Linked DNA regions of Mus musculus: region 1 is reported to be linked to region 2. The links are microRNA targets in miRTarBase. Many come from high-throughput screens and were not tested one by one. Region 2 holds a microRNA gene; the other region holds the end of a gene's coding sequence.

The links. Region 2 holds the annotated microRNA mmu-miR-710 (CCAAGUCUUGGGGAGAGUUGAG, at 6,251-6,272, shown strand). A microRNA usually pairs through its seed, bases 2 to 8, with sites in the 3' UTR of a target mRNA and lowers its output. Matches are read on the target gene's strand: a 7mer-m8 pairs with bases 2 to 8, a 7mer-A1 pairs with bases 2 to 7 and ends in A, and an 8mer does both.
Region 1: the mRNA of Slc35d2 is a reported target of mmu-miR-710. Seed matches in the 3' UTR shown: 7mer-A1 at 8,631-8,637.

What each region holds. Positions count from the first base shown.
Region 1 is chr13:64,088,041-64,103,962 of GRCm38, forward strand. It overlaps Slc35d2 (solute carrier family 35, member D2), which reads right to left. Exons shown (of 12, transcript NM_001001321.3): 10 at 11,230-11,308; 11 at 10,275-10,357; 12 at 8,270-9,644. The coding sequence ends at 9,542. Hsd17b3 (hydroxysteroid (17-beta) dehydrogenase 3) reads right to left here and starts at 1,161. Exons shown (of 11, transcript NM_008291.3): 1 at 947-1,161. The coding sequence starts at 1,088.
Region 2 is chr8:64,504,751-64,520,672 of GRCm38, reverse strand. Mir710 (microRNA 710) reads left to right here and starts at 6,232; the gene lies at 6,232-6,341.

The sequences.
Region 1 (15,922 bases), not on the chromosome of region 2:
GGGTATCTTCCAGCCTTGTTCCCAGAGTTTCCTGTTCTCTATGTGAAATCTGTTCCCTCCCTGGTTTGTCTGTTCCTGACGACATCGCATATTTCCTCATGGTTATCTTATTCATTCCTAACTCTCAAACAAGCTAACATTGTACCTCTCACTTTGAAGCCACAGAGTTTCTGGCTGCATCTTAACTGCTCTTTGGGGAGTGTTCTTAGAAGGGCTACGTGGGCAGCAGCTATGCAGAGTTCTAGCTGCACAGATACTCGGGCATTTCATGGGCGGCAGCTGTGCAGGGTTCTAGCTGCACAGATACTCGGGCATTTGACTGTGCCTGGTAGGGTATTCAGATCCAGAATACACAAGCTCAGTGGCTTAGTAAGTAATAAAAGCAGCAAACACACGTGTGTACATACCATATATTCATACACACGTATGTACACGTGTGCATACGCAGTGGAAGTGTAAGAAGCATCCGTTAGAAATCCATGGGTCCATCCTAAACAATTCTCATATGGTCATTAAAAAAAAAAAAATCCATGAGAAAGTTTACAAAGTTGCCAAGTTTAGTGAATAGAGGCACAGAATGCATTTTTAAAAAAATAAATTAACATTTGGATTAAAAAATTTTTTGAAACTCCCTTTAATAAAATGTAAGCACACCAGCCAAGAGTTTAGAAATCTGGAAATCTATAGGTGAGAACTCGGTACCTCTGCCTGGTTTATTATTGGTATTATTAGAAAGACTCCAAAAAGAAGTAAATCTAGCAAAGCAACAGACACGAGGGAAACCTGGGGGGCAGTCCCCTTCCCCATCTCCTGATCCATACCTTGATTTTCCAGACAGTTCTAGTTCCACACATGCTGTCTAGTCACACCATTACATGTTGTGCGGAGTCACAGAGGCATTCTGAGACGTAAGAATAAGAGAATAAGACTGGGAGAATCTTCTTACCTGCCCATTGTCCCATTGATCGCAGGAAAGAGCTTGGCAAAGCCTTGCAGAACCTCAGAAAAAGGTGCTGCGAGAACCTCATGCACTTCACCAGGCAAACCAGGCCCACGAAGAGCCCTGCAGCAATGAAGAGCTTCTCCATGGCCTCCTCTGGAGCTGTCTTGCTGGAGATGCTGCTGGACCTGGTCTTTATCCCCGTGTGATTCCCAGGGCAAGTGGCCTGGGTGCCCGCCAGATCTCCTCTGAGGAGGCTCTGGGTGTGTTCCATGTATCTGGGAGCATTTAGATTAGAGGAACTTCTTTATGTAACCTTGTGATTCGCAGGCATCTGAATCAAGTATTCTTAATAATATCTTTACAGCATGGTTAGGGCTTCTGTGGCTGTGGAGGTACTGGGTAAAGAAGACAGTAGACTTGAAGACAAGTGAAACCCAGAGAGAGGAAACAGAGCACTCTGGGAGTCTCCAAAGAGACTTGGTCTTGTGACTTGATCTCCAAAGGAGGTCTCTGCATTAAAAGCCTGATCCCCTGCGTGGTGGGGATGTGGGAGGCGATGGAGCCTGTGGGAAGTCCTGCAGTCCCATGGGAAGGCAGTGTTCAGAGGAAAACACTGGCCACTTGGAAAGAGTCTTTCCTTACTAATGTCAAAAGCTACACCATAAAGTCTCACCCAGCATGACTGGCAAAACAAGGACAACATCAGTAGGCATTGCCAAAGTAAGCCTGGGATAGTCCACTAGGCCTCAACCCTACACAAGAACTATAAGCAACTAATAAGGACTCTTCCCCAGGGAAGAGCACACCAATTGATTATCTAATACCAAATGGTCAGCCCTGAAAACATACAAACAAAAAAAATTATACAAACTAAGATATATATATATATATATACACACACACACATGTATATGTATGTATGTATATATATATACATGTATATGTATGTATATATATACATGTATATGTATGTATATGGATAGATATAGATAGATAGATAGATAGATAGATAGATAGATAGATAGATAGATATTAAAGTCACCATTGCAAACACCTGAGCTTGAGCTAATCATTTTAGTAAATTGATTATGAGCTGTTAAATATTAAACTTTGTGTGATACTCCCGGACAAGAAGTAGAAAAGACATTGGAGAAACAACACAGTAGCCACCAACACTATATATGGTTATATTTAAATTTAATATAACTTAATTTAAAAATTTATCTCCTGAACTACACCAGCTATTCCTGGTACTATTCCTGATTTACATATATGTTCATGCAGGAAGCTCTACTAGACACTCAAAGTTTCCAAGCCACTTAGGCCTTCGAGGAATTTACTGTTGCCAAAACGATGACCCAATAACTCATTAACACCAAAAGTAAAGCAAAAAGGATAAACTCACTTTTAGACCATACTTTCCAGGGTTAAATACATAGCTCCGTTGGTGGAGTGTTTGCCTAGCACACACAAAAACCTATGTTTGATCATTTGCACTGCATAAACCAGGCATGGGGCACACAGCTGTAATCACAGCATTCGAGAAGTGGAAGTAGGAAGACCAGAAATTCAAGGTTATTACTGGCTACGTTGTGAATTCAAGGACAGCCTAGGCTATGTTGTGATTTAAGGACAGCCTGGGCTACTTGAGACTATCTGGGGGAAGAAAACAAAAGGAAAGAAGGAAGAAAATACTAGAACATAGCTCAGGACCTTATTGTGATCACTAATTAGTAGACCAAGTAGACGTTCTTTCTCATCTCTGGTTTAGAAGAAATCTTTTCTGCTTTTCCCCATTTGGTATAATATTCACTGCTGGGTTCTCACAGACAGGTGTCAGCGTGGGGAGGTCTGATCCTGCTGCTCCTAATTGTGGTTTTCAGCCCTGAAGGATGTTGAATTTTGTCAAAAACATTTCTTTTTTTTAATTAATTAATTTATTATTATATCTAAGTACACTGTAGCTGTCTTCAAACACACCGTAAGAGGGCATCAGATCTCATTAAGGATGGCTGTGAGCCACGATGTGGTTGCTAGGATTTGAACTCAGCAGTCAGTGCTCTTACCCGCTGAGCCATCTCTCCAGCCCATGTCAAGAGCATTTCTATGTCCGTTGAAATGATTATGCAATTTGTCTTCATTCCACTACCATGCTGTATTACATTAATTCATTTGAACCCACTGAATTATCTCAGCACCCCTGGAGTGAAACCTTCTGGCTCCTGCGGTTTTACCATCTTAATCTGTCGTTTACTGAGGATTTTTGAATATGTGTTCATCAGGGAAATTGTCTATAGCTTGTTTGTGTGACATCACCACCCAGTTTTGGCATCAGAGTGGAGCTAGCTTCTTGCCATGAGTTTAGAAGCATTCCTTCCCTCCCGATTTGGTGGGATGGTGTGCATTTAGAGATACGGTACAATTCAGCACGAAACCCAGCTAGTACTTTGATGTTCTTTGTCAGGAGACGATTACCCCTCCAGTCTCATCGCTCACTGGCATTTTTTTGGATTGCTTATATTCTCTTGGTTCAACTCTGTAGGTGAAACAGCATGTGTCTAAAGTTTTTTTTTTTCATTTTTTTCTAGGTTTTATAATTCATCAGAATATAAAATCTCAATAATCCTCTGGGTTTTAGTGATATCTGCTTAACATCCCCTTTTTGTCTAATTTTAAATTGTGAGGTCTTCCCTCTTTTTGCTTAATTTGTCTCAGGGTTGGCCAATTTTAACTTTTCAAAGAACTGTTTCACTAGTGCTCTGAATCACTCTTTTAGCCTCTGGAACAGCTGGGATTAGAGGTGTGCACGCCACACATCGCTCCTGCTTTTTGCTACAAACTTTCTGTGTCTTTTGGTATAAAATGCCCCCCCACACACTCCAGCTCCAGTTTCCAGGTGACTGCCGTACTTTATAATTGTGCTATGCTTATTGGCTTGAATCATTTCATTTCTGACTGAGACCAATTTGTTCAGACATTAAGAAACCTCTTCTTAGCTGTATTTTCTCTGGTTTCCCCTGCAAAGCTCAAGGCCTATGATTTGGCTTGTTGTTCTAAATAAAAAGAAGCACAACTTTCAAGAGTGTCCCTGAGTGTTTCTTCCAAATTGTTTCGAGCAGTGTCAGCTCCTTTGAAGAGCTCTCTGGGATTTGTCCTGGATAGTCTTACATCAACTTGACACACACTAAAGTCATCTGAGAAGAGGGAGACTCCATTAAAATGCCTTCATAAGACCAGGCTGCAGGCAGGCCTGTAAGGCATTTTCTTAATTAGTTATTGATGGGGGAGGACCCAGCCCATTGTAGATGGGGCCATCCCTAAGCTGGTGACCTTGGGTTCTTCAAGAAAGCCGATCGAGCAACCTTAGGCAGCAAGCCAGTCAGCAGCACCCCTCCATGGCATGTGCATCAGCTCCTGTCTCCAGGTTCCTGTCCTTTCTGTGTTCTTGTCCTGGCTTCCTTGATGACAGGCAGTGATGTGGAAGAGTAAGCTAAATAAACCCTTTCCTCCCCAAATGTCTTTGGTCGTGGTGTTTAATCACAGCAATGGAAACCATAACTAAGCCAGGACTCTTTTCTTTTTATGGACATTGTGTTTTCTTTCGGACATCGCAAATGTTTGAAATCACACAATTCACGTGAAGCCTGTATTAGCTACTTCTCCGGTACTGTGATAAAAATTCCCTGGCAAAAGGAAATCCAGAGACGAAAGGGTTTGTTCTGGCTTACAGTTCCAGACGGGATGCTGTGGTTCATCATGGCAGGGAAAACGTACAGGCAGGAGTGTGATACTAGCCTGGCAGTCAGGAAGCAGACTGATCACACTTTATTCACACACTGGGTGAGAACTGGAGAGAGACAGAGAACAGGAAGTGGGGCTAAGCCAGGAATCCTCAAAGCCTCTTCATTCCACTGTTCCCCGGCTGATCTCAGCAGTTCCAGCAGGTTTACTCTTAAGTAGAGAGCAAGGATTACACATAGGTAAGAAGTCCTGGTTACGTAGTGATCCTGCCCAGCCTGGACACATCATTGTCTGGGCTCTAGTCTATCCTGCAAGGTGGCCTAACTAGTGTGTGAGACCACCACTCTGCCCAGCGCTCAGAATAATGTCTCAGAGAGTTTGCCCAGGGCAAGTCGGTCCTCATCTTATATATGCGTAAAATCTCTTCCTGGGAGACAAATTCCTCTGGCTGGCTTCAGCTTTTTCCTCTCCAACATGTGATTCCCAGGGAAATTCTAATTCGCTGAGGATCACTCTTTTAATAGTCTGATAGCCAAAGGAAGGGGCCCAAGTGTCTCTGGAGCTAATGTCGAGGTCAGAGGACAGCCTTTAGTATCCAGTTTGTTCCTTCCACCATAGGTTCTGAGGAGCAAACTCAGTTCTTCAGATTTGTGGAGCAAGTATCTTTACCCAAAGCTAAGAATGTGCTTCCCAGAAGTGTCCAATAGAGGCAATTCCTCAGCTGAAGTTACTGCCACCTCATGCACTCAACACCCCACTCCCTACCGTAATTCAGAACACTGATTGGAGATTCCATTTCCTAGGTACCTTTCTAGAGTGAAAAGGGTTACTTTCCAACCAGATACAAATGCTGCTCTTAGGGTGCCCTCTGCTGGCCAAATGTGGAAGAGGAGGAAAAGTCTTAAAATCATTTCTGAAAGAATTCCAAGAATCAAACTTAGAGATAAGGAAAACAACTTTGAAAGACAGCAAAAACTGTTTTTCACTTCTCTAAGTGAGTGGTTTCTGGTCTCAGGGTTTCAGAAGAGACACTAAAGGATGTTCTAACAATAGTCTGGGAGCCCCCGATGTCATGTTCTAGAAGTCTTAAAAAGTAAAGAGTGCTGTTCAGTTGGAAGAGTGCCCAACTAACAGACATGAGTCCTAGATTTGATAGCCACATAAACCAGGGGTAGAAGCACGTAACTAGTCCCGGCACTGTGTGATGGAAGAGGAGATCATAAATTCAACCATCCTTGACCAGAGACCTTGTCTCTAAAACAAAACACTCTAAATTGTAGTAGTAACAAAAGAGGCAACATTATTAAGAAATGGAGAGTCAGGCCTGGTGGTGCATGCTTTTAATCTCGGCATTAGGAATTTTGAGGCAAACAGATCTCTGTGAGTTTGAGGCTACATAGGGAGTTTCGAGCCAGCCAGGACTAGATAGAGTCCCTCTCTGAAAGAAAGAAAGAAAGAAAGAAAGAAAGAAAGAAAGAAAGAAAGAAAGAAAGAAAGAAAGAAAGAAAGAAAGAAAGAAAGGAAGGAAGGAAGGAAGGAAGGAAGGAAGGAAGGAAGGAAGGAAGGAAGGAAGGAAGGAAGAAAGAAAGAGGGAGGGAGGGAGGGAGGGAGGGAGGGAGGGAGGGAGGGAGGGAGGGAGGGAGGGAGGGAGGGAGGGAGGAAGGAAGGAAGGAGGAAGGAAGGAAGGAAGGAAGGAAAGAGAGAGAGAGAGAGAGAGAGAGAGAGAGAGAGAGAGAGAGAGAGAGAGAGAGAAAGAAAGAAAGAGAGAAAGAAAGAGGGAGGGGGCTGGGGCTCAGTGGGTAAGAGCACTCGACTGCTCTTCCAGACTGCTCTTCCGAAGGTCCGGAGTTCAAATCCCAGCAACCACATGGTGGCTCATAACCATCCGTAACGAGATCTGACGCCCTCTTCTGGAGTGTTTGAAGACGGCTACAGTGTAGTTACATATAATAAATAAATCTTTTTTAAAAAAGAAAAGAAAAGAAAAGAAAGAAAGAAAGAAAGAAAGAAAGAAAGAAAGAAAGAAAGAAAGAAAGAAAGAAAGAAAGAAAGAAGAAAGAGATGGGGAGAGGGAGGAAGAAAGGAAGAAAGAGAGAGAAAGGAGGGAGGAAGGGAGAGGGAAGAAGGAAGGAAGGAAAGGAAAGGAAAGGAAGGAAGGAAGGAAGGAAGGAAGGAAGGAAGGAAGGAAGGAAGGAAGGAAGGAAGGTCTAAGCCAAACCTCTATAAAGATGGTTACTAATAAAAAAAATTTTTTTTAATGTATGTTGTGAAAGATGAGGAGACAGTAGCTATGGAAAAGTACAATATATCAGGTCCTCAATAAATTAGAACTACAGCTGGGTATGTTGGCATACACTTTTAATCCCAGGACACAGAAGGTAGAGGCAGGCATATCTCAGAGTTCAAGGCTAGCCTGGTCTTCACAGTGAGTTCCAGGACAGCTGGGGCTACACAGAAAAAAAAAAAAAAACCTATCTTGAAAAAAGATAAGATCAGAACTCTACTACTATGTATAAATCCCAAATAATTGAGAGCAGGATCTTCTACTTTTTGAGGCATGCTGCCCAGGCTGGCCTTGAACTCAGCACAGCTCACACTGGCCTCAACCTCCTGAGTGCTGTGATTGTGATCAGGGCTTTGGAGATGTACTTGTACTTCTATATTTACAGTGGCATCATTCACAGAAGCCTGAAGATGGAAATATCCCAAGGGTCCGTCAACAGGTGAGCAAGTAAGCAAAACAGGATTCTGAGACCATTAACATTGTCAACTTGGTTCTCAACGTTGATCTAGAGTCAACTGGGAGACAAGGCGTGCCCGTGAGGGATCATCTAGATTAAGGTAATTGAGGTGGGAAGACCCACTCTGAATATGAATGGCACCCCTCCATGGGTTATAGTACCAGACTTTGTAAAAAGGAGCGAGCAAGCCATATACCTCCATCCATCGCTCTCTGCTCCTTGACTATGGACACATGACAAGCTCAAGCTCCTGCCATCATGACTGTCTCCTCAGAGTGGACTGTTCCCTAGACCTGTAAGCCAAAACAAAGTGCTTCTCCACTAAGTTGCTTTTATCAGGGTATTTCATCATACCAACAGAGCCAGACTACACAGTGAGGCTGTCATTGGTCTGACAAGAGGGCAGTGGGAAGAGGCACTTGACCCAAGTTCAATCCCTAGAACCTACAGAAAAGTGAAAGAACTTGAAAGCTAACTCCACAAAGTTTTCTTCTTACTGCCATAGTCATGGTGCATACTCTGTCTGTCTGTCTGTCTGTCTCTCTGTGTCTGTCTGTCTCTGTCTCTTTCTGTCACACACACACACACACACACACATGTATTAAGTAGTTGGAAACATTCTTTCAGTTGCTACCACCTCTGGCTCTACTTCTAGAAACCTAGATGTTGCTGGCAGGGCTGGGGAGTTAACTCTGTAAGTACTTATCACACACATCTAACTTTCAAAATCCCTTGAACAAACCTGGAGGGAGCTGGGCAGAACAAGACAGATGAGCCATTTGTACTAGTTACTTCTCTGTTGTGATAAACAAAAACAAAAAAAACCAAAAACCATAACCAAGTCAATGTATAGAAGAGTTTATTTGGGCTTACAGTTCCAGAGAGATCAGTGTGGCAGGAACAGCTGAGAGCTCGTCAAACCACAAACAAGAAACTGAGCAAGCAAACCTGAAATGGATGGAGACTTTGAAACCTCAGAGCCCACCCCAGGGACACATTTCCTCCAGCAATGCCACCCAACCAGGGACCACACATTCAAATGTCTAAGACTACGGAGATGAACTGATGGCTTTGGGTTTTTGCAAAGTTTTTCCAACACTTGTCCTTAAAAGGCTATCTTGTTGTTCCTTCAAGATGGAGTAATGTGGGCTGGTGAGATGGCTCAGCAGTTAAGAGCAATGACTGCTCTTCTGGAGGTCCTGAGTTCAAGTCCCAGCAACCACATGGTGGCTCACAACCACCCGTAATGAGATCTAAAGACAGCTACAGTGTACTTACATATAATAAATAAATAAAATCTTTTTAAAAAAAAAGATGGAGTAATGTGTGCACACATGTATGTATGTGTGTGCATGTGTATGTGGAGACCGGAGGCTAATGATGGGTGTCTTCCTCAGTCACTCTCCATCCTATTCTTTGAGACAGTGTCTCTCACTGAACCTGATGCTTGCCATTTAAGACTGGCTGGCAAGCCAGAGTCTCAGGACATGTCTGTCTCTGCTACCCAAAGCTGAGATAATTGATATGCTCCATGCCTGACTTTTTATATGAGTGCAGAGATCAAACTCATTTGTCTCCTGAGTACAGTGAGCACTCTATACACCTCAACCCCAGGAATATTCCTGGACACTGAATAACTAACTATTTTCTATCATACTGTAATATCACACTGTGCGGCATATATAGACAGGACTTTATTTCACTGTAATGACCTGGAAAAAAAATACCAACACATTCAAAACTGAATGACTCTTACAAAGACAAAGAGATGGTTCAACAACAAAAAGTTTTCCCTTTTTCCTTGGATGAGGCCTTTAAAATTAAGGCCACAGTGCTGATAAGCAAAGTCACCCTTGAAACATCTTCCCCAGCACATAGTGAGGGCCCTGTGGATGACTTTAGCAAATTCACTTAGTTGGAAGGTTTTGTACTGTGAGTCGTGGGTTCCTCGTGGCTCATTGTGCAGTGACGTGTGAGGTAGCTTTCTTTGTATTTCGAAGACATTCCTTTTTGTGCTCTGACCAAGCAGGTGACTGCCCCATGTGTGGGACCTCTGGTCTACCCACTCCTGCTGAGGCTGCTCTTTCCAGCCTAGGCCTGCAACTCTGTCTTCAGCCTAGCTCTTCAGATCCAGAGGGATGCTTTCTTCATCCACAGGTTGTTTAGGTTTCAACTGGCTGCTGAGTGTTAAAAAGGAATATCTTAAACCACCTGCCATGCTGAAGAGAGAAGAGAAAGGGGTTAAAAAAAATCCTATGGGCACTGTTAATGTAATACAATATAACTGCAGTCAGCTTGATTTCAACACAACTATTAAGATCTCTGGGGGTTTTTTCCCTCACAGGTTGGTAGGTAGATTGAGAAATTTCTTCTCTGCAAATGTTTGGAGACAGGAAAAGAAAGCGAGTGCTCGATTTTTACTGGATAAAGTAAAGTGTAATGATTGTACAACTAACACCCAGGCCTAGAACCCAAAAGTGTGTTTAAAAACATCAGGGTGCCAACAGCATCCTTGAGACGCAGCCCTTCAAAAGGCTACAGGTAATGAGATCCACACAGTGGGAGGAAGATGTTTGAACTGAATTTAGGCCTAAGCCCTGAGATTCTTTATGACACATGTCCCCAGAGACCACGTGAAAAAAATGAAGGTCACAAATACAACAGGCCTGGAGCAGGGGATGCAGCTCAGTGGCAGAACACTTACTCGCCTGGCATGCACATGGCCCTGGTTCCATCCTGAGCGTGGCAACTAGTAAAACCATTTCTCTTTGATTTTTTTGCTTATTATATACCAAGTGATCATGTTAAATCCCTTATTTACTGTGAGTTCATTTAAAAGTCTCACTTACCAAATATTTAACCCTATAAAGTTTAAGAGGGAGAAAATGTAGTCTCCACCAACCAACATCCCAATGTAGGCAACCGATACATTCTGCAAAGAGAGGGGGCTCATCATTGAAGAGTAAGGAACTTCAGGGCAAAGGCAGACACGTGACACCTGAGGCCTGATGCTGGGTTACTTTGCATAGAGGCTTGCATGGAATACCTAATGACATATGGCTTTATAAGCAAATACATTTTATAACTAAAATGTAGTTACTGAAAACTGTACTGTTCACCCTCCCCGAGTTCCAGGCAATAGGTGGGACAGTACAGCTGTAACTTGCTTGCTTGCTGCTTCCATCTTTATATCATCACTGGCACACCAAATTCTAACCCTATCACCCCTAACCTGAATAGGGCAGGCAGCTAAGTTCTAAGTAGAACTCTATGCAAGCCATTTGAGGAAGCCACCGGGTGGAGCAAGTAAGGTTTTCTCACTCACTTTAGGAGCTTACGTGAAGAGAAAAATAGTGTGGACTAGAATTCAGACCACCACCACTCTCTGTTCAATAGTTGTGTCCTCAAATGCACACAGGCAGACACAAACTCCTTTGCACCAACCTACCAATCCAATGTCACTGCTTTATCATAGAGTGGAAGTACTAAAAACATTCCTTCAGAAGGATTTGTCTTCTTAGTGGGCAGGTCCTCCCAGCAAAACTAATTCCAGATAACGAAGTGATCACAGATATTTGATTTTTCTTTCCAGTTGTTACTTGTTTTTCCCAAATTATGCCCTCACCTGCCTCCAATTTTAAAGTAATAAAACACTTTCTTTTGGGGGTTAGCAACTTCACTCAAGATCAGCAGCAGGGTTACACAGCGCCCCCTAGAGTCACAGCCTCAGCAAAAAGTAGCTTTCAGCACATGGTTTCCATCTGGTTCCCACCCTGGTGTTAAGCGCAAGGCTCCATCTCTTACCTTGATCGCTCCAACCACCGCTGTGGTCAGAGCTGAGTTGTAATAACTGCAAAGAGCTGTGGAGTACATCAGGAGAAACCTGAGGGTAGAAGACGGAGAGCGTGAGCGCCGGCCTGCTCTGGGTAACATGAAGGTTCTAGAACCCAGATCTAGACTTTCGTCATTGGGCGTTTTACACGGGGTGGGGGGAGGTTCAGCCTGCGCATAAGCGTTTCTCATGGTGTGTCCACAAAGTGAGGGAAAGAAAAGGATTTTATTTATTTGAGGGTGGATCTCTCTACCTAGCCTTGGCTGACCTGGAACTCATGTATATAGACAAAACCGGCCTTGAATTCAGAGAGAAACACTTGCCTGTGTTTTCCAAGTGCTGGGATTATAGGCATGCATGCACCACTATGCCTGCCAAGTGTCCTTGCTTTTATAGAAATGTTACTAGTTTTGTAAATGAGGTACTAATATTTAAATGCTGAACTTGGACACTTCAGAAAAATCTGTTTCTAGGACCCCACATGGTACTGTTTGCCCTTCATCATCTCAGCACTGGACTTACAGTACTAGAAGCAGGAGGCTCGAGAGTTAAAGAGTAGCCTTGGCTGCATCAAGGCCAGCCTAGGTCACGTGAGACCACCCATGTCCCAAATACATAATGTGTGCCTTCAATTGTTATAATTTTAATGAACTCAATGAATAATGTTACTTACTTCCCTGCGTCAGTTTCTAACACTCAGCCCTATGTTCCTGTCACCAAGTGCAGCTCTGCCTGACTCTGGTGATCTGACCCACACCACCTAAGCAGGAGCTCAGAGTACACAGCGTACGCCAAGCTGCATCCTGTGGCTTCCAAACTTAAGGTCAGCCTTCCACAAGGACAAGCATGGATATTCTTTTTTATTTCTGCTGAAAAATCCCAAACCCAGGTTCCATCAGGCCACGTTGAAAAACACTTTGGCCTGCTTGCAGATTCCGTAACTGGGACCCCAAGATCTCAGTACCATCTGCCAGAAGTATGGGCAGCCAGGACAGTTACTCATCACCTGTGCTTAGCTAGAGAAGGGGATCCTGGCTAACAAACTGGAGCTGCTGGGAATGAACCCCAGTCCTGACTAACACAGGGTTTGGAGATAGAGAGGCTGCATTTCTCAATGTGCCCACTAGATGTCCTCAGAGAGGGAGAAAATAAAAATTATTTTTAAATGGGGTTAAACTTGTAAAGTGTTTGCTAGGCAAGGATGAGAACTAGTGTTTAACTTTCGAGCACATGTTTTTTGGTTTTTTGGTTTTTTTAAAAGCCAGATTGGATGGTGCATACATGTAATCCCAGGACTAGGAGATAGATGACTGAGGGTCTTTGGGATTGCTAGTTGCCCAGTCTAGCCAAATCAGAGAGCTCTTGGTTCAGTGGGAGATCGCATGTCAAAAAGCAAGGCAGAGATTGATAGGTGAGATACCTGATATTGACTTATGGCTGCAACACACATGTACACACATGGACACATACACACTAAGTTATTTTGAAAGAAGCATTTCTACATACAGATAATTACTTATTAAGGGCATTGAATAAGACCAAGATATTGATCTAAAAGAGCCCTCATGAATTCCATACGTGGTATCTTAGGGTTACTATTTCTGTGATGAAACAGCACAACCAAAGAAACTTAGGGAGGGAAGGACGACTCAGCTTAGGCCTCCACGGCACTCACCTGTTCATCATGGAGGAAGTCAGGACAGGGCAAGAACCTAGAGACAGAAGCCATGGAGGCATACTGCTTACTGGCTTGCTCCCCATGGCTTGCTCAGCCTGCTTTCTTATAGAACAACAGGCCAGGGATGGCCCCACCTGCAATAGGCTTGGCCTTCCCACATCAACCACTAATTAAGAAGATGTCCCATAGCCAGATCTTATGGAAGCATTTTCTCAGTTGAGGTTCCCTCCATTCAGATAACTTTAGCTTGTATCGAGTTGACATAAAACTATCCCCCACACATGGGAAATCTCATCACTTGGTTTCTGTTTGTATTTATTTATTTATATATTTTTGAGTTCCATGCAACACATGCCAGCACATAGTTGAGTGCAGTACCCACCTTTAGACAATAAAAACCAATTTACACATCTGCTACTGAATGTAATGGTACTGTGGCAGTCAGTCTTGTCCACATGACTAAACTTAGGATCACCATGGAAAAATTCTACTGGGCATAGCTGGGAGGGAGTTTCCAGAAAAGTTTAACTGAAGAGGGAAGACCCACCCAAACAGAAGCAGCACAATCCCACCGCCTTCCATCCCAGACGGAATGAAAAAGCAACAGTAAGCTGGGTATCAGCATTCACCTCTCTCTGCTTCACTGCGGATACAAAGTGTCAGCTGCCTCTCTCCTGCCACCTTCCCTGCCAAACGGACTGCACTCTCAGTGAGCCAAAGTGAATCCTGAAGTTGCTTTGTCACAGTGAGGGAAAAAAGCAACTAACATAAGGTTACCACGCATGTTTCATCTTGGATTCCAGGCTCATGCCCACAGTCACAGGTAGGTCACTGAAACCAGAACCTCCTCCTCGGAGGTATAGCCTTTCATGTTTCTCCCACTTCTGACCTGGAGCTGGCCATAAACTCTCTGACTGATCTCGTCTTGTAAATGACCATAAGAGCCCTGTTTCTGAAAGGCAGGATCCAACGACTTGAGGAAAGTACGCTACAGAGAGAGAGACCAGGAAGCGTCTGAACAGAAAGGCTTTCCAGACTTCCCCATCCTGTCCATCAGCATGAGAACACACTCTGTCTGCTCAATTGCATCTTCACACCGCAGTCCATGTCTACGCCATGACAACTGTGCGCTTGGATTACAAGAAGGGAATCAAGAATGAACTTTCCGATCCCTGGGCGAGCAGCACCCCACCTCCACTGTCCACCCTCCTGAGACTCTGACTGCTCATCTGCATCCTTAGAACTATCCTTTATAACAAGCCTCAGGGTATCTAGTGTTTGTCTGCACATTTAACAAGATGCTCTAGCAAATGGCTTGGCCCTGAGGAAGGGGGTCTCAAGAACCCAATTTTAGGCAGTGCTCTGGAAACACTGGAATGCAATTGGTACAGTGCTCGAGGACCTGAGTTCAATCTCCAAAACCCATGTAGAGGGGGAAAAAGAGCTGAGCATGGTGGTGTACTTATAATCCCAGCACTGGGAGACAGGTGCATCCCTAGGGCTGGATGGCCAGCCAACCTAGCTGAGTCAGCAACTTCCAGGCCACATCTACCCTGTCTGTAAAAACAAGGTTGTTTTGTGGACCTTTGGACATTTAATACACACACACACACACACACACACACACACACACACACACACACAGCCCACATACATACACATACATACATACATACATACATACATACATACACACACACACAGGGGAGAGAGAGATGCAAAACAACTCTGGATACCCTGAGTTGGGAAGTCTGATACCTTTGTGTTTCTATTAAGGAGAATATTGCTTCCTTGGGGAGATCAAAGGTCCTGGGACAGGTTAGGAACAGATTAGGGTTTCAGCTGTAAAAGGAGTGAACTAGAACCTGTGATCTCTTAGCATGGTGGCCAGCATGGTGGCCTTTTTCAAGCCAGCCTGCAGCTCCGTCTGCGTTTTACCTTGCATACAGGCATTGATTATTTGAGCTCCGTTGTTTATCCCATCTTCCTGAAGCACTGAGCCCCCACAACCTGTTTGCAAACCTTTAGTCACACATTTAGGATTCCAGAAGATTAGTCTAACCTCACCATAACCCAAAGGGAAATTAAACACCTGCCCTTTCAACACTCTACTGGCTTTGTAATAAGCTTATTTAAAAATGTAGTAAATTCCAGTAAGACAGCTCAGCAGATAAAGGTCCTTGCCTCCAAGCCTGAAACTCTATGCTCAACCCCTGGGATCAATATGATAGAAGAGAACAAACACCACATGCACACTAAGGCAGCATGCATGTGTGTGTGTGTGCACCCATATGCGCACACACACACGGATGAATAAACATTAAGAAAAATTGTAAAGAAAAAAATTTAAATATATTGTATTTTAAGGTTATAATTTCAGTAAATCCAATAGAGGTCTGGAGGTTGAGAAAAAGAAGTTTGGGATACAAACTTGAAAGTGGTGACATCAACTAAGAGGCTTCAGTTGGCTCTCTGGCTCCTGCCTTGGGAAGCACCTGACACTACCCCTGAGCTGCCTGCTGAGTGAACAGCAGGAGCTGGTGGCCAGCCATCCTGAAGAGTGACTTCTGAGGCTGTGGAGAAGTGGTTGGGGCATTGTTACAAGGGCGTAGATCTTAGAGAGGGTCCACCATGCCAAAGCTGGGACTTTCTTCTAACAGGGCTTTGGAATTAAAACTTAATAATAGAAGGTTAGTACATGGAAGAGAAGAAAAACTATTGACGAAGTCCGTGAAAAGAAAGCAGACAGCAGAGCTCAACGGAGTTCAAGAGGAGAGAGAGCATTACTAGTTTAGTGTGGCATTGTGACCCTGTGATCCCAGCACTTGGGAGGTGGGAGTCAGGACAACTGCAACTCAGGCTGTTTCTGTTTGTTTGTTTGTTTCTTCTTCCTCTCCTTCTAACTCAGTCAGGCTGTGAACTTTAAGAATCTCCATCCTCAACCTCTCGGGTGACGGAACTACAGGCGTACTCCACAGTGCACAGCT
Region 2 (15,922 bases):
GGCATAGACAGGTCAATGGGACCACAAGAAGAATATAAGGTCTAGAGAGGAGAATTGAACATGTGAGATTTGAAGTGAGGTATGGAAAGTTCAGGTCTTTGGCTTGGGGAACAAAGTGAATGGGAAAGTCATTAAGTCTTGGAATGAGGAGGCTCAAAATCAGGAAAAATATATGAACTCATCTCTGTACAGTGTTTGAAGTGTTGAACAGATCAGTCTTGGATATGGTTTGCAGACATATTGTTGGCTGAGAAACACATTTGTTGAAAAAGTTGAGCAGGTAGAAGAAAGAAAAGCATTAGAGTGCAGGTTAGTGCTGAGGTCACAGAAGGTCAATGTGTCACATCACTCCTCCCCTGTAGACTCCAGATCCAACGTGGAACTAGACACAGCAGTCACTTGGTCTTGGAAATGGTCTTACTGGTAACAGTGCCTGAAGAATAGCACTTGAGTTTTTATTTAAAACCATTTTACTAACATTTCATCCACTAACTGGTATTGTTAATGGTTTTCAAAGCAGAAGTGAACAGAAGGATAAGTTAGACCTCTGCACGAGGACAGAGGTTCTTTTTATCAGACTTGCCAATGAAATACACCATTCTTATTTCCATGGGGAGGAGTGAGGAGGTGATGAGAAAAACCAGCGGCATTGCTCCACCTGCAGTTCCTATACTGCAAACAAGGCCAGCAGAAATGGTCTCTTGAGAGCATGTATTTGAGAGGATAGCAAAGGAAGTGGGTGCAGAGCAATACAGTGCTGGTGCTGATGCTGCAGGCTATGACAACCACTTGAATGTGCTGCACACTCACTGTGTCCCAGGAGCACTCTAAAGCTCTTTATAATCATCAGCTTGTATGAGTCATCTTGAGGGGTAGGTAGGGAAACTAGGTTGAGAAATGGAGACACAGCTGAGTGGCAGAATCCAGATCTGAATTGAGACAGTATGGTTCAAAAACTGGTTCTGGAAAAAATAATACTGCAAGAAGGGAGGTGTGAAGATGAAGATAGCACACACACACACACACACACACACACTGAGTAATATATATTTATTAAAAATATAATATATATATATAAATATAAATGTATGTAAATATATTTACTACAACAGTAAAGAAGTTAATGTGGTATTTAGTTGAACACTTTAATATACAGAGTCAATTGATTTATTATTGTATCTTTGTTTTATTATAAAAGGCTGAGCATAGCACTCTCATATATGTTTCAACAGTAAGTTAATGTTGTTTGGGATATTTAATGGACTACATAAAAATTTATTGCTTATAAGGAGCTCTAATTAATTAATTAATTAATTATTAATCCCAGATGTGTTCCTTACACTTGTACATCCTGTGTGAGTTGAGCTGTAGCTATGAAGAGATTGGATCTTGCTTTTACCTTAAGGAATTAAATTGAGTCCTCAGTCTTCATGTCTTCTATGTGGGGGCTCACTTTATATTATCTTCACATAGATTCCACAGTCATATTTGGAAGGTGTGGTCAGTCCTGAACCTTTAGAGTTTGCTGGAGACACTTTTAGTCTTCTCACTGTCAGCAGGGATGCGAGGATATGCATCATCCCAGGAACCCAGGTTCCTAGATATTTCTGCTGGGAAAAACATAGGAAGTGGGTTAGACATTCCCATTAATTTTATAAAATACCTCTTTTAAAGAATGCTGTAGCTCAAATTACACATCTTCCACATAATACCTAGACATTTTCACAATGAGCTGTGTGCTGGCCAGATATGCTTAAACCTTTGACTCATTGAAAGCACAGTTCTAATGAGCTCAGTGTGGTAAGATTTTCCTAAACTGAAATATGGTATATCCTCTTTCTTAAGTGCTGTCTCTCTGGGTCTGTGTGTTGTAGTGTGGTTATCCTCTAATTAACAGGTACATTCATTTATAAGTAGGTGTATACCATGTTTGGGTCTGGGTTATCTCATTTGCTGGCAAATATCTTGGTGTCATATATATATATATATATATATATATATATATATATATATATATATTAGCAGTTGAGTAATACTTCATTAGGTACATGTGCCACATTTTCTTTATCCATCTTTCAGTTGAGGGACATCTAGGTTGTTTACAGTTTCTGGTTATTATGAATGAAACTGCTATGAACATAGTGGGGCAGGCATCCTTGTGGTAGGATGAAGCATCCTTTGGATATATACCTCTATTCCTATGTTAATCCTACTGATCCATGAGTGTGGGAGATTTTTCCATCATCTGGTATCTTCTTCAATTTCTTTTTAAAAAGATTTGAAGTTTTGGTCATACAAGTCGAAAATGACTTTTAAGGCATTTATAATTTATAGTATTTTGTGTCTCTGAAGCTTGACCATACATAAATGCAAATTTTAAAAATTTTAAAATACTTTCCCTTATTTGTCAGATGATAATTTGTAGACAATGACTACTTCTGACCAAATAAAATTGAGTAACTGTGTATTACATAGGTTTTTGGAAGGGTACATGAAAGACTGTTATGGCTGTGGTAAGAATGTTAGAATTAAAAACTGCTTGTTCTCTCATTTTATATGGACTTCACCACTGTGCATTCAACTCCAGGCTTTTATTAGATACCATTCGATTTGTCATTAAATATAGTGTTATGAGTAGTCATTCAATTAGTTAGTGTAATCCAATAGCCCTCTTCTACAAGTAAGAGTATACTTAAATTCACAAAACCAGTCTGTTTCTGAACATAAAGACCCTTAAGAGACCTCGCTGTCAAAGTTTAAATGATCCAATGTAAACAAAGTGCTAATTACCATCACAAAATGATGGGTTTGCTTCTGGCTCTTAATATGGGGAGAGTACCCATGTGTAACTGTATAGCTCCTACCTGGCATTGCCATAGAATCTCTTAAGTTGCTGTCAAGGCAGAGTTTCTGGAGAAAAGCCACAAGTACAGAGTGTTGTCCTATTTGCCAATTCAGGAGCCAAATAAGCCACATTTCTTCCAACGGAGAAGAAGGAGGAAGAGGTGGAGAGAGAACAGTCATGTTGCTTTAGGGTAAATACCTTTAGATGGAAACATGAAGACAGAAGGTGTGTTTTATCGGGGTGGAGGGAGAAAAAATAGAGCAAGATGATGATGGTGATGATGGTGGTGGTGGTGGTGGTTGTGACAGTGACCATGATGGTGAGGATATCCATATCTTTAGAGTTACAAAACACTGATTTCTGTGGAAAGTAAAACCCAAACAGAGGAATAATGACGTAGTTCTACCTTCTCTTCTCTGTGCCTATCCCTCAATTTGGTAGACAGTACAGGGTAGTTTAAAATTTTCTGGTATGAGAGTCACAGACCTAGCTATGCATCTCTAGCCTTTGAATTTTAACTGGAGAAGGGAATGGATCTTGTGCTAAGATTTTAACCTGTTTTACTTCATCCATAGTAGCAATTCTAAATCCAAAAACCATTCTTCCTCCTTCTCACAGGGTGGCAAGAGGTAGTTTGTCTTATTCAGTTTTCTTGTGTGTATTACAGTTATCTCTCACAATCTTTATATTCTAATTTTCCACCATGGCCTTTTAGGCTACACAACTTCTTCAAATCCTGGGTCTTCCTAGTGAAAGCCAGGGCGTGTTCTGTAACTCTAAAGATACAGTTCTCTTTTGGTTCTGGGTTCTGTTCTCCCTCTAAAATGATGAATATCTCAGCCCTGTCAAGGGAATATGTATTAGCAAGCATTATCAGGCAGGAAATGATTGGATGACATTTCACAGTGTGTGACTGATACTGATGGAACTCTGTGAAAAACAATATCCCTTCCGTTTTTACTCCCTGAATAGAAGCCAGTGACGGTTACTTCCTGATGAATAGTACGTCAGTGTCTCTGCCAAACACTAAGCCTACACAACTGCCTTCATGTAGTTCTTGATGGCACACACTACATTCAAACATAATGATAATACATGTATTATGATTTTATATATGTGAGTATGTGTGTGTGTGTGTGTGTGTGTGTGTGTTGAGTATATACCTAGAAGAATAAAATAGAGATTGGACCTTGAGTTCTGAATATGTTAAGCAAGTGTTGTATCAGTGAGCTGGACCCCAGTCCCTTAGTTTGGGTTCATTCATATTAGCCAAAGTGTGTGGTTAAGGTTCTTGATTCATCCTCCAAAAGGACACAGGAACATTCTTGCTTTATGTAGTTGGCCTAATTCACTCAGTGCCTATTATGACAAAATAGAATAGGTCTAAGGTCTATTTAGCAAAACACAAATTTTTGTGTTTTGTAAACTACTAGTAAAACTTTTGAATGTAATGCCATGTAGTGGTTCAAAAAGGACTACAGAGAATTCCTTTTGACTTTCAGAAGCCTTTTGCAGTCACTTCCTGGCTATGTGATGAGCACTTACCAACATAATTAATTCTCCTGGCAAGGAGTTAGTTCAGGCAGTGACTTGCACATCTGAGATCTACATTAGGAAAAGGGTTTTAGGAGTGAAGCGTGTGAAATCTCACATCGAGCTGGCCTTCCTTTCTGGATACACACCTGTCAGCTGTAAGCCTGGGCCTTGGGCCAGTTTCAGACGCTGCTAGCTACAGGTTTGCGGGGCCAGCCAGGGTCACTGGGAATCCACATCCCACACATACGTTGCTGATACTCCTACATTGGACCTGCATTTCTCCTGCTCTTAGTTGAAGTGAAGGCATATGTCCTTCTATAGTCACTCTGAAACTTCCAGAAGTAAAATTCCAGCTCTCTGCTCCTAGACCATCGTGGGCACATCTTTATAGGTTTTGATGAATTACCAGCATTGTTTCATGTTCCTTCTCTTCCTTGGCTCGTGGGACCCATGAGGAAGTATCTTGATGCTCCCATATTTAGTTCTGAGCCTTGTATTCGCTATCAGTAGGGTTGGGAAAATAAGGGGCTCTCCACTTACCATCAGGATGTAGCTTTTATAAAATCTCACAACTTTTCCATATGGAAATGTCATTTCTCTACCAGGTTAGATGTGATTTTAGGATGCCATTTAAGTTATTTTTTATTAACCTATAAGAATATGATATCTTCTGTCTGTGTTACATAATGAATTCAAGGCAAGCCTGGGCTATGTGGTGAAAAAACAGTCTTAAGGAATCTGGAACCTAACCAAACTACCATCACCGACAAAGGTTAATATTAATAGTCTAAATATCCAACCTGCGCTGTTGCCTAGTTGGAATTTGTTCTCTGGTGAGTTTAACAAGCAGAAACAAAACAAAACAAAACAAAACAAAAAAACTCATTTCTTTCATATTTCTTTAGGAAGCAAGAAATACAAATCTTCCTTAGTACTTGTGCCCTTATGAAACCAAAGAAGTAAGGACTTCATCCTCTCAGCGCAGCACTTTACAATTATCAATAATGCAAATGACTCCTGGAAGAACATTCTGCAAGGCCTTTGGTAAGCATTTCCACTAGAATCCCATCAGTTTGCATTTCAGGGAATCACCATGACTGTGAGGTGTCTATTCTATTTTGCTGAATTCCCTTCTACATGGTCATTCCCTGTGGTCCTTCATCTTCATCTTCCCCTTTCTTTCATTTCTTCCTCTCTTTTTTTCTGACTCCCTTTCTCACCACCATCTGACCCAAGAATCTTGATTGACCACACTGGTTGTAGAGTGATACCTTAGTTGCTTTGTGGCACACCTGTGCCCCCTACCATGGGCTGCTCGCCGTTTTGCAAATGTTTTCTTTTTTCCCTTTGTAAGTGATACTGTGCCCTGCCCTTTATGGGCAACTTCCTTACTTGCAGAAACCTCATTTTGGTAACTCTAGTAGGCTTTTACTTCCCTGGGTATTTCTGAGCTGAATTTTGGCCAACTGCATCTTACGAAGTCAGCAGGTTTCTTCCAAATATTATCATTAAGTGTTTCCTGTGTGAAATCCTGTCCTTTCCAATGTACTTGGAAGAAGGAAATAGAAAAAATAACATGGGTATTTATATAGGATCTTTTCTTTTTTACAGCCAATTGCTTTTAGACAACTTCAGTGAGAGCAAGGAGCTGATAGGAGCTGGGCAAATAGCATCGGAGATGGTTGAAGTCTTTCCCAATGTTCCACAGGGACCAATCTGGCTTGTGTAACCTCCATAAACTGTTTGAGTTAATTCCCTTGGTGTCACTGATCCAGATTAAGTTTTTAGAATTTGAAGCACTAATATGCTCTACGTATGGAGAAATACAAAGTACTCTAACCACTCCTTATCTCTCTCGTCAAATAGAAGCCAAGTCTTGGGGAGAGTTGAGCTTGGTGTGAAAACTGACATACCCCTTCAACTCTTTAGAACTTAGGTATCTGAAGTGGAGTGGATGGAGTAGTTCCTAAAAATAAAAGGTAGGATCCACATGTAAGAAAAAACATGGACCTTAGGCTCTCAGAGCCTGGATTCCCTCCATTAATATAATATTTTCTAAGAAATGGAACAGAAACTTTTAAGTGGGTATAATGTGGTAAGAAAGAGCCAAGGAACAATTGGAAAGAAATTTTAGATTCAAGCTATTATTAAAAAGGAAAAAGAAATGTTGAATATGGGACATGAAAGTCAACATGAAAAGTTGATTTTTGAAATTTAAGTAACTCTGGGAAAACTAGAATATGCCTTCCCTTCAGTTTTCATTGCATTTTATGAAAATTATATATAAATATAAGTGATATATACACCACTCCCAAAAACTTTTATTATAGGTAAGAGATGTATTTATTTAAGCCATTTATTAGGTCATTTCTTTTACTTTATTATATTCACGTTTGAGATAATTTTGAAAATTACTAATGTGATTAACTTTTATTATGTTATCATATAAGCAAGCTTTGTCCTATTTTTCTTCTGAGTCATTTGAAGAAAATTAAGATTTATTATGTTAGTGAAACAAAGAGGAAGAATGCAAACTCCTTACGCGTTTGACATGCAAAATAGAATTCTAAAGTAAGACTATTTATTTTCTTCTTCCATGAGGGGCTTGCTGAGTTTATTTTCTCCTTTTAAGCTATTATAATCCAGTCCTGGAAGAACTGCTTCATAGGTTTTTATAACTGTGTAGAGAAAATATATCTGTAAGAGTAGATTAAAGAAAAGGAGACTAGAACACGGGATTCCATCCCTTCCAAGCCCTGTTTATGGTAAAATCAGTGTGCAGATGGAAGACATCGTTCTTGGGTTTACAGATCCTGATTTGCCTGCTGTAAGGAAAAGCAGTGAGGACTCTGTAGAAGAGGGTCAAGGAATTTTAATCCAGCAACATGGCTGCTCTTACCACATCAAAAGAACTTTTAGGTCTGTGTGATCTGGCTAGAATACAGACACACTCTTAGTATACATCTTTATTCCTTTTGGCTGGAATCCTTTAGTACATATCTTTAATCCCAAATAATGATGTCCAATTTGAGGGGCAGACAAAGTGAGGAATCCCAGAAAGATTTGACAAAATGAGTCCGAGATAGGATACGCCCAACTGTCAGGAGAAAAGCTATTTAAGATCAGTGTGCGCGCATGAGACACACACACACACACACACACACACACACACACACACACACACAGAGAGAGAGAGAGAGAGAGAGAGAGAGAGAGAGAGAGAGAGAGAGAAGAATTAGAGAGAGAGAGAGAGAGAGAGAGAGAGAGAGAGAGAGAAGAGTTAGAGTTCAGACAGTTTGGTCAGTCAGTTGAGAGTCAGTGCAGTGAGTGCAGTGCACTGGAGTTGAGTTCCTTTGTGAGCTCATGCAGCTCAGAGCAGATCAGCAGAGGCCGTTGAAGTCAGAAAATATGAAAGAGTCAGAAGATTAGAACAAATTGCCAGAGTCAGTTTAAGACCAAGAAGAGCAATTCAGTGAGAAGCCAAGAGAAGCCAGATTGAATCAGTCAGCTTGGAGAGGAGTTTGAGCCAGAACAGCTGGGTTGAACCAGCCAGTCAGAGCTTAGAAAGAACTAGGAAGGAGTGAGCTTTTTCAGTAGTAAACCTTCTAAATTACAGTTACATCAGGTGAATGATTCTTGTGGACTTTAGGGGAAGTTTCAACCTTCAACCTAGCTCTTAAGTGACAGAGATGGAGTCTGATAAGCAGCTGAGGGTATGGATGAGAACACTGTGGATGAGGTAGCCATATGTTATGGCTGCAAAGCAGGTTGCACAGAGCTAGCCAGGATGCGAATCTCAGACAGTCTTCAGAGGGACTAGTGAATCGGCGGGTCTTGGTATAAAGTGTCTCTAGGAGTGTGTCTGAAATAGAAATATTCGCTTTTATGATGGCTTGCTTGTTGAGATTCAAGGCTACATGATATCTAACTTCATTAAAAACTGGTATAAGATACTGGTATAAGCAGTAAGATACTGGTATCTCAAAGCACTCCAATCCTTAGATATCACTATTATTACACTTATTAGGTAGCACTTATTGTTAACTATGTTGGGGTTTTTTTCTTCTTTTTATATATGCTTACTGTCCCCTCCAGGAGGAAGAACAGATTTATGTCTTGATCTTCCCATTTCTATTTTCTGAGCTGTAACTCTTTTTCCTTTCAACTATAAGAGGACTCTGTCATAAGAGTCCTAATGTAGTCCCTATACTTTCTGTTACTTGATAAACTAACATTAAAGTGTCACAGTATTTTACTTTACATGGAGATATTTACATTTAGCATGTGTAGAGCTCAACATTAAAATCAAAGAGAGAAAACAATAGCAGACTGAGATTTCTTCAGCATTTAAACAAAGAATTAGGAGGGTGTTTTTCTCTCAAAACTCAGCACATAGGCATATATTTCAGTGGGGGGAATGCAGCACCTAGCAAATGGTTATTTATTCCAGACCACAGGAATTCCCATTATTTCAAAGTTTTCGTTTTCTAGGAGATGGAAGGTATTTGTCTGGGCAGCTGTATTCCAGGATATACAGGGCTAGCCAAACGTCAGGGAATCAGTGCCGAGCATAAAGCAGGAAAGGAAAAGATCTGACCAGAGGGGAGTGCATTAACCCTGGTCCGCTCCAAGGTGGTTTGCAGATGGGATGTCATCAAGATTCTGCACTAGTGAATCCTTGATGAGGAGCAGAAATCAATACCATCAATCTAGTGGTGGGTGAAGGGAGCCTAGGGCTTTGGGATATTTTGGACTACATCTTTAAATATCTTTAACGATTACTCAGATAAAGTCTGGATACGTTTATGAATGTGTGAATTACATTAATTTTGTACAAAGTGCAAATCTGTGCCTATCTGATCTTTGTTGATTGTGAAAGACAAATGTCAGTCTAAATTTCTCCAATGTAATTATAAGGTTAATAAATAGAGTAGGAAGGGTAACAGGGTTGCTAAGTTAACTAAATATTTAACATTAATAAGTAGGTAGATGATATTTCTGGACTATAATTACAAAAATATATTTATTATGAGTCAAAGCAGAGAGATCATAGAACATGATACAAGGGTCTCAAATATAACATCTAGTAAGCAATTAGTACATTACAATTTAAGTATCTAACAACATGTTTTTAGGACAGTATACCTTACAAACGAGACTCTCTATATAAGCTTTGATATTCTAGATTTAAATTGTGAGTCAGACTCTTGTTGGCTGAATAAACTTAGGCAAGTAACTTAAATTTCATGAGATATTCTCTTCAGCAATAATAATGGTAACAGTTATTAATAATAAATTATTCTTTAGAATGTATATTTAATTTACAGAGAGGAAATTGACTAGGGAGTCAAGAGAGACCTACTCTTCCTGCATTTAGAATAGAGAAACACACACACAGACACACACACACAGACACACACACACACACACACAGACACACACACACAGACACACACACAGGAAAAATTCATAAAAGTTCATTCAGAAGTGACCAAAGTTGGTAAGTGATACATAGAACAAAAGTGCAGAAAGAAGAGGACTAGATAACATTGGCTGTAGGAAGATTTTTTATTTTAGATAGTGATATTTAAGAAAATCCTGGAGAAAATAAAGGTCTAAGCCAACTTAATGTTAAAATAGAAAGGGGTAATGCAAGAACAAAAGTCTTATAGTAAGGACACTCTTCATGTGTCTTGGCAATCCTAAGACTCACTGGCTACACGTAAGTGAGCGAGGATGTCTGATGTAGCAGGATATAAGAACAAAGAGGGAAACAGATATTCTAAAGCAGCTGTTCTCAACCTGTAGGTCATGATCCTTTAGGCATGCAAGAACCCTTTCACAGGGGTTGCCGAAGACCATCAGAAAACAGATATTTACATCACAATTCGTAATAATAGCAAAATTACAGTTATGAAGTAGTAATGGAAATAATTTTATGGTTGAGTGGTCACCACAACATGAGGAAGTGTATTAAAGAATAGCAGCCTTAGGAGGTTCAGAACCACTATTCTAAAGCCTTGCAGATAATCTGTCGGACTTGGCTTTCCTGTTACTGAAATGGGTTGCAATTAGAATGCTGTGTTAGGATTTCTTGTATTTTAGCAAGGCCACTTAGGCTGATACACTGAGAGAGACTCTAAAGGGACACCCATTAAGGCTATGAAGTCCTGTTAGGAGACTGTTTCAATAATCTACACAGAAGGTGCTGTTGTTGGCAGAGAAATAGAAAGTCTAGTTGGTAGGGGCCCAGCAGCAGCTTGGTGTCCTGACAGATGGGTGGGTATTTTAATAGGAAGAGAGATTTCAATGCAGGCAGAAGATGGAGTCCATATGCACAAAAATAGGGCAGATGGGCTGAGAGGGAAGATGAAGCACTTAGGTTTAGGATATTAGTCTTAATTGCCTGTTAGACATTCATAAGTGAAGTTATGGAGTAGGTGTTTGGGTGTATGGATCTGGAGTTCAACAGAAATGTCCCAGCTAGGGATATAAATTTGCAAATTGCCAGCCCTACAGATGATGTATAAAACCAGGATGTCGGATGAGATCATCAAAGGAGTGAGCATAGAAAGAGAAACCTCAGCCTCAGCATACATCAACATTAATATGTTGAAGAAAAGAGGGCCGATAATAATAGGGAGTCAGAAAGAGTGGCCAGGGAGATAAGAGGAAAGTCAGGCAAAATCAGTTTGCCAGACATTAAGTAAATAAAATGTGAATGAGAAAGGAATGAAAAATAGTCTCAATCCCTGCTTGAAGCTAAGTTAAAAAAAATAAATTCTAGGAGTTGAAAATTATTTTTTGTTATTTAAATTTTTGAATTAAAATTTGTATGTGTGCATGGATTCCTTCACACACATATGTGTGTATCAGCTGTATGCCTTGTATGGTGAAAGCCAGAAGAAGGCATCAGGTCTCACAGAACTGGAATTAAAAATGGTTATGAGCAGCGTAATGTGGGTGCTGGGAACTGTACCAGGGTCTTTGGCAAGAACATCAAGTACACTTTACTATTATCCCTCCTCTAGCATTGCTTCTTATAACTGTGTGCACCATTGAGAGGTGGGCTCAAAGAATGAAAGAGAAAATAGCATTTTGTAGTAGAAGAAAGATGAGAAATGGAGCAAGGTAGAGATGTATATGGACTCAAGCAAAGTTCTTAGTTTAATAAGAGAAATAACACACTGATATGGTATAGGAAAAGGTTCATGTAAGAAGTAAATGGGAAGGACCATGGAGCAAAGCAGCAAAGCTTTCAAGTGGATGGGAGGAAATAAGAGATAAGAGTACTACATGGAGTATTTGGGTTTTGGGAAGACAATGGCAGTTGGTTTGAAGTTATGTAGTAGAGGGAACAGGATCAACAGATTCACACAGCTTGGGGGGGAGGTGTATAAGTTTATGATGTCTTATCTGATCTATTCTGTTTTCTAAAAACAAGATGAAGCTGGGATAGCTTAGAAGAGTAAAGGAGGGATGGTCCAAAGAAATGCAGAGGGCTTCTGGTAAGCAACTAGACTCCTGTGGTGTTCAAACAACTGCCTCCAATATGCACACATTCTAGGAGTGTCCAACCTATGGTGTAAGCCTGAGATACAGTGGTCTGCATGCCCACCTTGAGAGCTACAAGTCTGGCTCGATATATCTGTAGTCCAAAAATCATATAATAATGTCATGAAAAGCCCAGAAGATTTGGAGATATATACATGGATATATTATAATGAATGATCATGAACTTCAAACTAATGATAGAAGTGAACATGCAAAAGGTGGACAGGGAGGATCATGACAGTGGCTAAGATTGGAGGATTATTACCTTTGACAGTGGGTCAAAGGTCACAGAGCAGAGCTGAGAACAAAAGGAAAAAACTTGAAAGAGAAAAAATGGCAGTTAGTGATGTCAGTTTAGCTGTGAAGACAGGTAAAAAGAGCTTTTTTTGTTTTTGTTTTTGTTTTTGAGAGAGGGTTTCTCTGTGTAGCCCTGGCTGTCCTGGAACTCACTCTGTAGACCAGGCTGGCCTCAAACTCAGAGATCCACCTACCTCTGCCTCTTAAGTGCTGGGATTAAAGGTGTGTGCCACCACTGTCCGGCGAGCTTATATTTTCTTATTCAAAGAAGTTTAATTAAAGTATTGAAAATGGAAAGTGGCAAGCTCCAAGTCTTTCCTGTTTAGGAAAACATATTCTCACTGTTCCCTGGAGAGTGTATTATATAGTATGGTTGATAATCAAAATCAGCAAAGACTGATGTAAGCCAGAAAGATTTGGAATGACTCGGGTGTGGGGATGAGCAAATATGAAGACAAACATGGAATCTATATGCTTTGTGGTCCAAGTACTGGGTGGAAAGTAGTACTGTGGTTTCCTACAAGAAGAGAGCAAACAAAGTTGCACTGGCCTGCTGCTCAGTGGCAGAGATTTGTTTTTAAAAGCGCATAAATAGGGAATTTCATCACATGAACAGCATGGCGAGCACATACACAAACATACTTGATTACCGTCCTACACGCATGGGTTGTGGGGTATACCAGTTGTTCCTAGCATACACGGTTACCCTCTTATATACATATATGGTAGCCAGCTCTTTCTAGTAGCAGAATGAATGGAACAACCAGTTCAACAGGAAGCTGACTAAAGCTCAAGGGAAACCACTGTGCACCAGCAATACAATAAGCACGAGGTGCAAAGGCTATTCTAGCATAATGTGGCGGCATTCTGTTTTACAACCAACTTGTTTCGTGGGCAAAACCAAGCAATAAGGTAACAGTTAAATATGTGTGAATCTATTTAGTTAATAGCAAGTAAAAGAATACATAATGGTAGGTAGAGAGAGGCAGCAGATAGCAAAACATCTTCGAATCCCATGTTCACACTCTCTTGCAGAGATGATTGAAGTTGCTCAATTGAGCGAGCAAACAAAGGGGGAACATCTTCAAACTAGGGGCTTACAAAGATCCAGCAGAAGTAGCCCAGGCTATCCTGAATTACTGTCACCTGGATTTCCTGAATGAGACTACATCCTGATCAGAACAGAGTGTGGCCTCAGGTGAGGCTTTCAAGCAAAATAACAAATAACACCAGATAGGTACAATCGGGTCTGGTACTCGCAACATCCAGCAAAAACTGGAGAAGTCGAGGCAGTCAGCTGGAGCTCTCACTTGAGCTTCGCCTTGGAAGATGAGTTTCCTATGGATGAATTTGCCACTATCCTCCCCTCTTTCACAACATGAGCAGCCTCTGTTAGAGATCGTTTGCACGATAGCTATTCTTAAGGACATAATGTTGTTAATACCATTAGCAGCTTTTCTGTTCTCTTTCCTCCCTGTAACAGATTGAGGGGTAGGTAGCCCATCTGTAGACAAGTGGCATTCAAAGATAGTTTGGGACAAACATGCTTAGGTCTGAAGCTAGATTTTCAGCAAGCTCAAGCAGCACATGGCAATTCGAAATGGAAGTTTCTGGACATGTCAGGTGATGCAGACTCACGTGGCATTTTGTTGAGGCAAGGCTGTGGGAGGACACATCATGTTTGGAGAGAGTATAAACAGGTCTCAAGGGACAATGACAGCATGCTTGCATAGCTACCTTTACAACTCTTTGGGGGGTCTCATGTCTTTGCTGATCTTTACTTCTTAAGAGAGGCAAGGCAGAGAACTTCTCCTGGTGGAGCAGCTGATTCTGGTTGCTCCTATAAAGGCCTGTTTGTTGCTGCTGAATCTTGCCTCCACTGCTGATTCTCAGATTCATGTTTGGTGTCCTCACAGTACTGAACTGGACTGCTGTAATCCTTACAAATGGAGACTGAAATCACCTAAAAGAACTACATCTAAACAGGTCTGTATCCCTTTTTTCTATTTACGGTCTTTTCTCCCTTAGCTTTAGACCGTGGGCTAGAAGGGGGTTGAAGTGTTTGAGAACCCTTATTAAATGTAGGGTTTAAAACATCTAAGCCTACAATAATTTACACAATATATGTACATTACAAGCTTATAAGATGCATGCAGTTCATCTCTGACTGTAATATACTTTTTTGTTTTGTTTTGTTTTGTTTTTGTTTTTGTTTTGTTCAAGACAGGGTTTCTCTGTGTAGCCCTGGCTGTCCTGGATCTCACTCTGTAGACCAGGCTGGTCTCAAACTCAGAGATCTGCCTGCCTCTGCCTCCCAAGTATATGACCACTGCCCAGTATATGACAGCATTAGGTGTGAGAGGCTTACTAGATACACACAGGAAGGAGCACTTTGCAGTACTTACGAGAGCGCTGAGAGTTGCAGGTTGCGGATGAGTAGGATTGTTCTGTGTAGTTTGTTGGCCTCTATGAGCTTACTCAGGCAGAGGGAGTGGAAGGAGGGGAACATTCTCCAGGTTCTTCAGGGAGCAGAACATTTGCCCATGAAAAAGAAGGATGCAGGGGCTGGATGGATGGCTCAGTGGTTAACAGCACCGACTGCTCTTTGGATAGTCCTGAGTTCAAGTCCAAGAAACCACATGGTGGCTCACAACCATCCATAACAAGATCTGACTCCCTCTTCTGGAGTGTCTGAACACAGCTACAGTGTACTTACATATATTAGATAAATACATCTTTAAAAAAAAAGAAAAAGAAGGATCTATATCTTTGAGCAAGTATAGAGTAAAACTAGCGAGCATTGAAATGAGTTCTTAAGGGAGACATGTGATCTCTTCCTTAGCTCTTCCAGGAATGAAAGTATGCGGCTTCCTGGATCAGGGAGAACAGGTGGAAAAATTACCTTTTGGACTCTACAAATGTCTTTGTGACCTTAAAATTTGCTTCAACCAGATGACACCATAGTCAGAGGCACTGAGGAACTTACAGTTTGGACAATAGACATTACTGGGTGTTTCTAGTATATTATAATATTTGTTAACTTATTTGACACTTGTACTCATCTTGTTATATCTAGTGTTTAATATTAATACTTCTATTATTTTTTAAATTGTTACTTTAATAATAATATTTACATTAATCTTGTAGAACTATGACAACATGGACCAAAACTTTAGATCATGAAACAAAATGAGTTGGATAAAAATAGAACTCTTGGCATCTGTGAGTGTCATTTATCACTGGAGAACATCTTCATTAACGATTATTTTTACATGGGGACTGAGCAATCTTCTAGAACTTTTTAAGTCACTGATAACCATCACACTTGACTGTGTTGCCCCTTTTCCACTTACAACTTTAGTTTTTGAAAATATTCTTTCAGTAGTAGCCTATAAATATAACAATTAAATACTTGTGATTAGATAATGGCTTCACCCCAAGGATCTCTAACAGTTTTTTGTCATCAGTCAGCAGTTGACTCCCCTACTTGTGGTAAAACACACAGAGAAATGCTTATAGGGAGATGTTTTTAATATTCCAAGTTGAGTTAAATGCAGAGCCATCCGTCTCCCCTGTCTCTTTTCTTCCCATTCCCCCTTTCTTCCTCATAGCCTTTTCTATGTATTCTTTCCTTCCATCTCCCCTTTCCATTTTGTCAGAACACTTCCTGCTTAGAAACATCTACTGAGG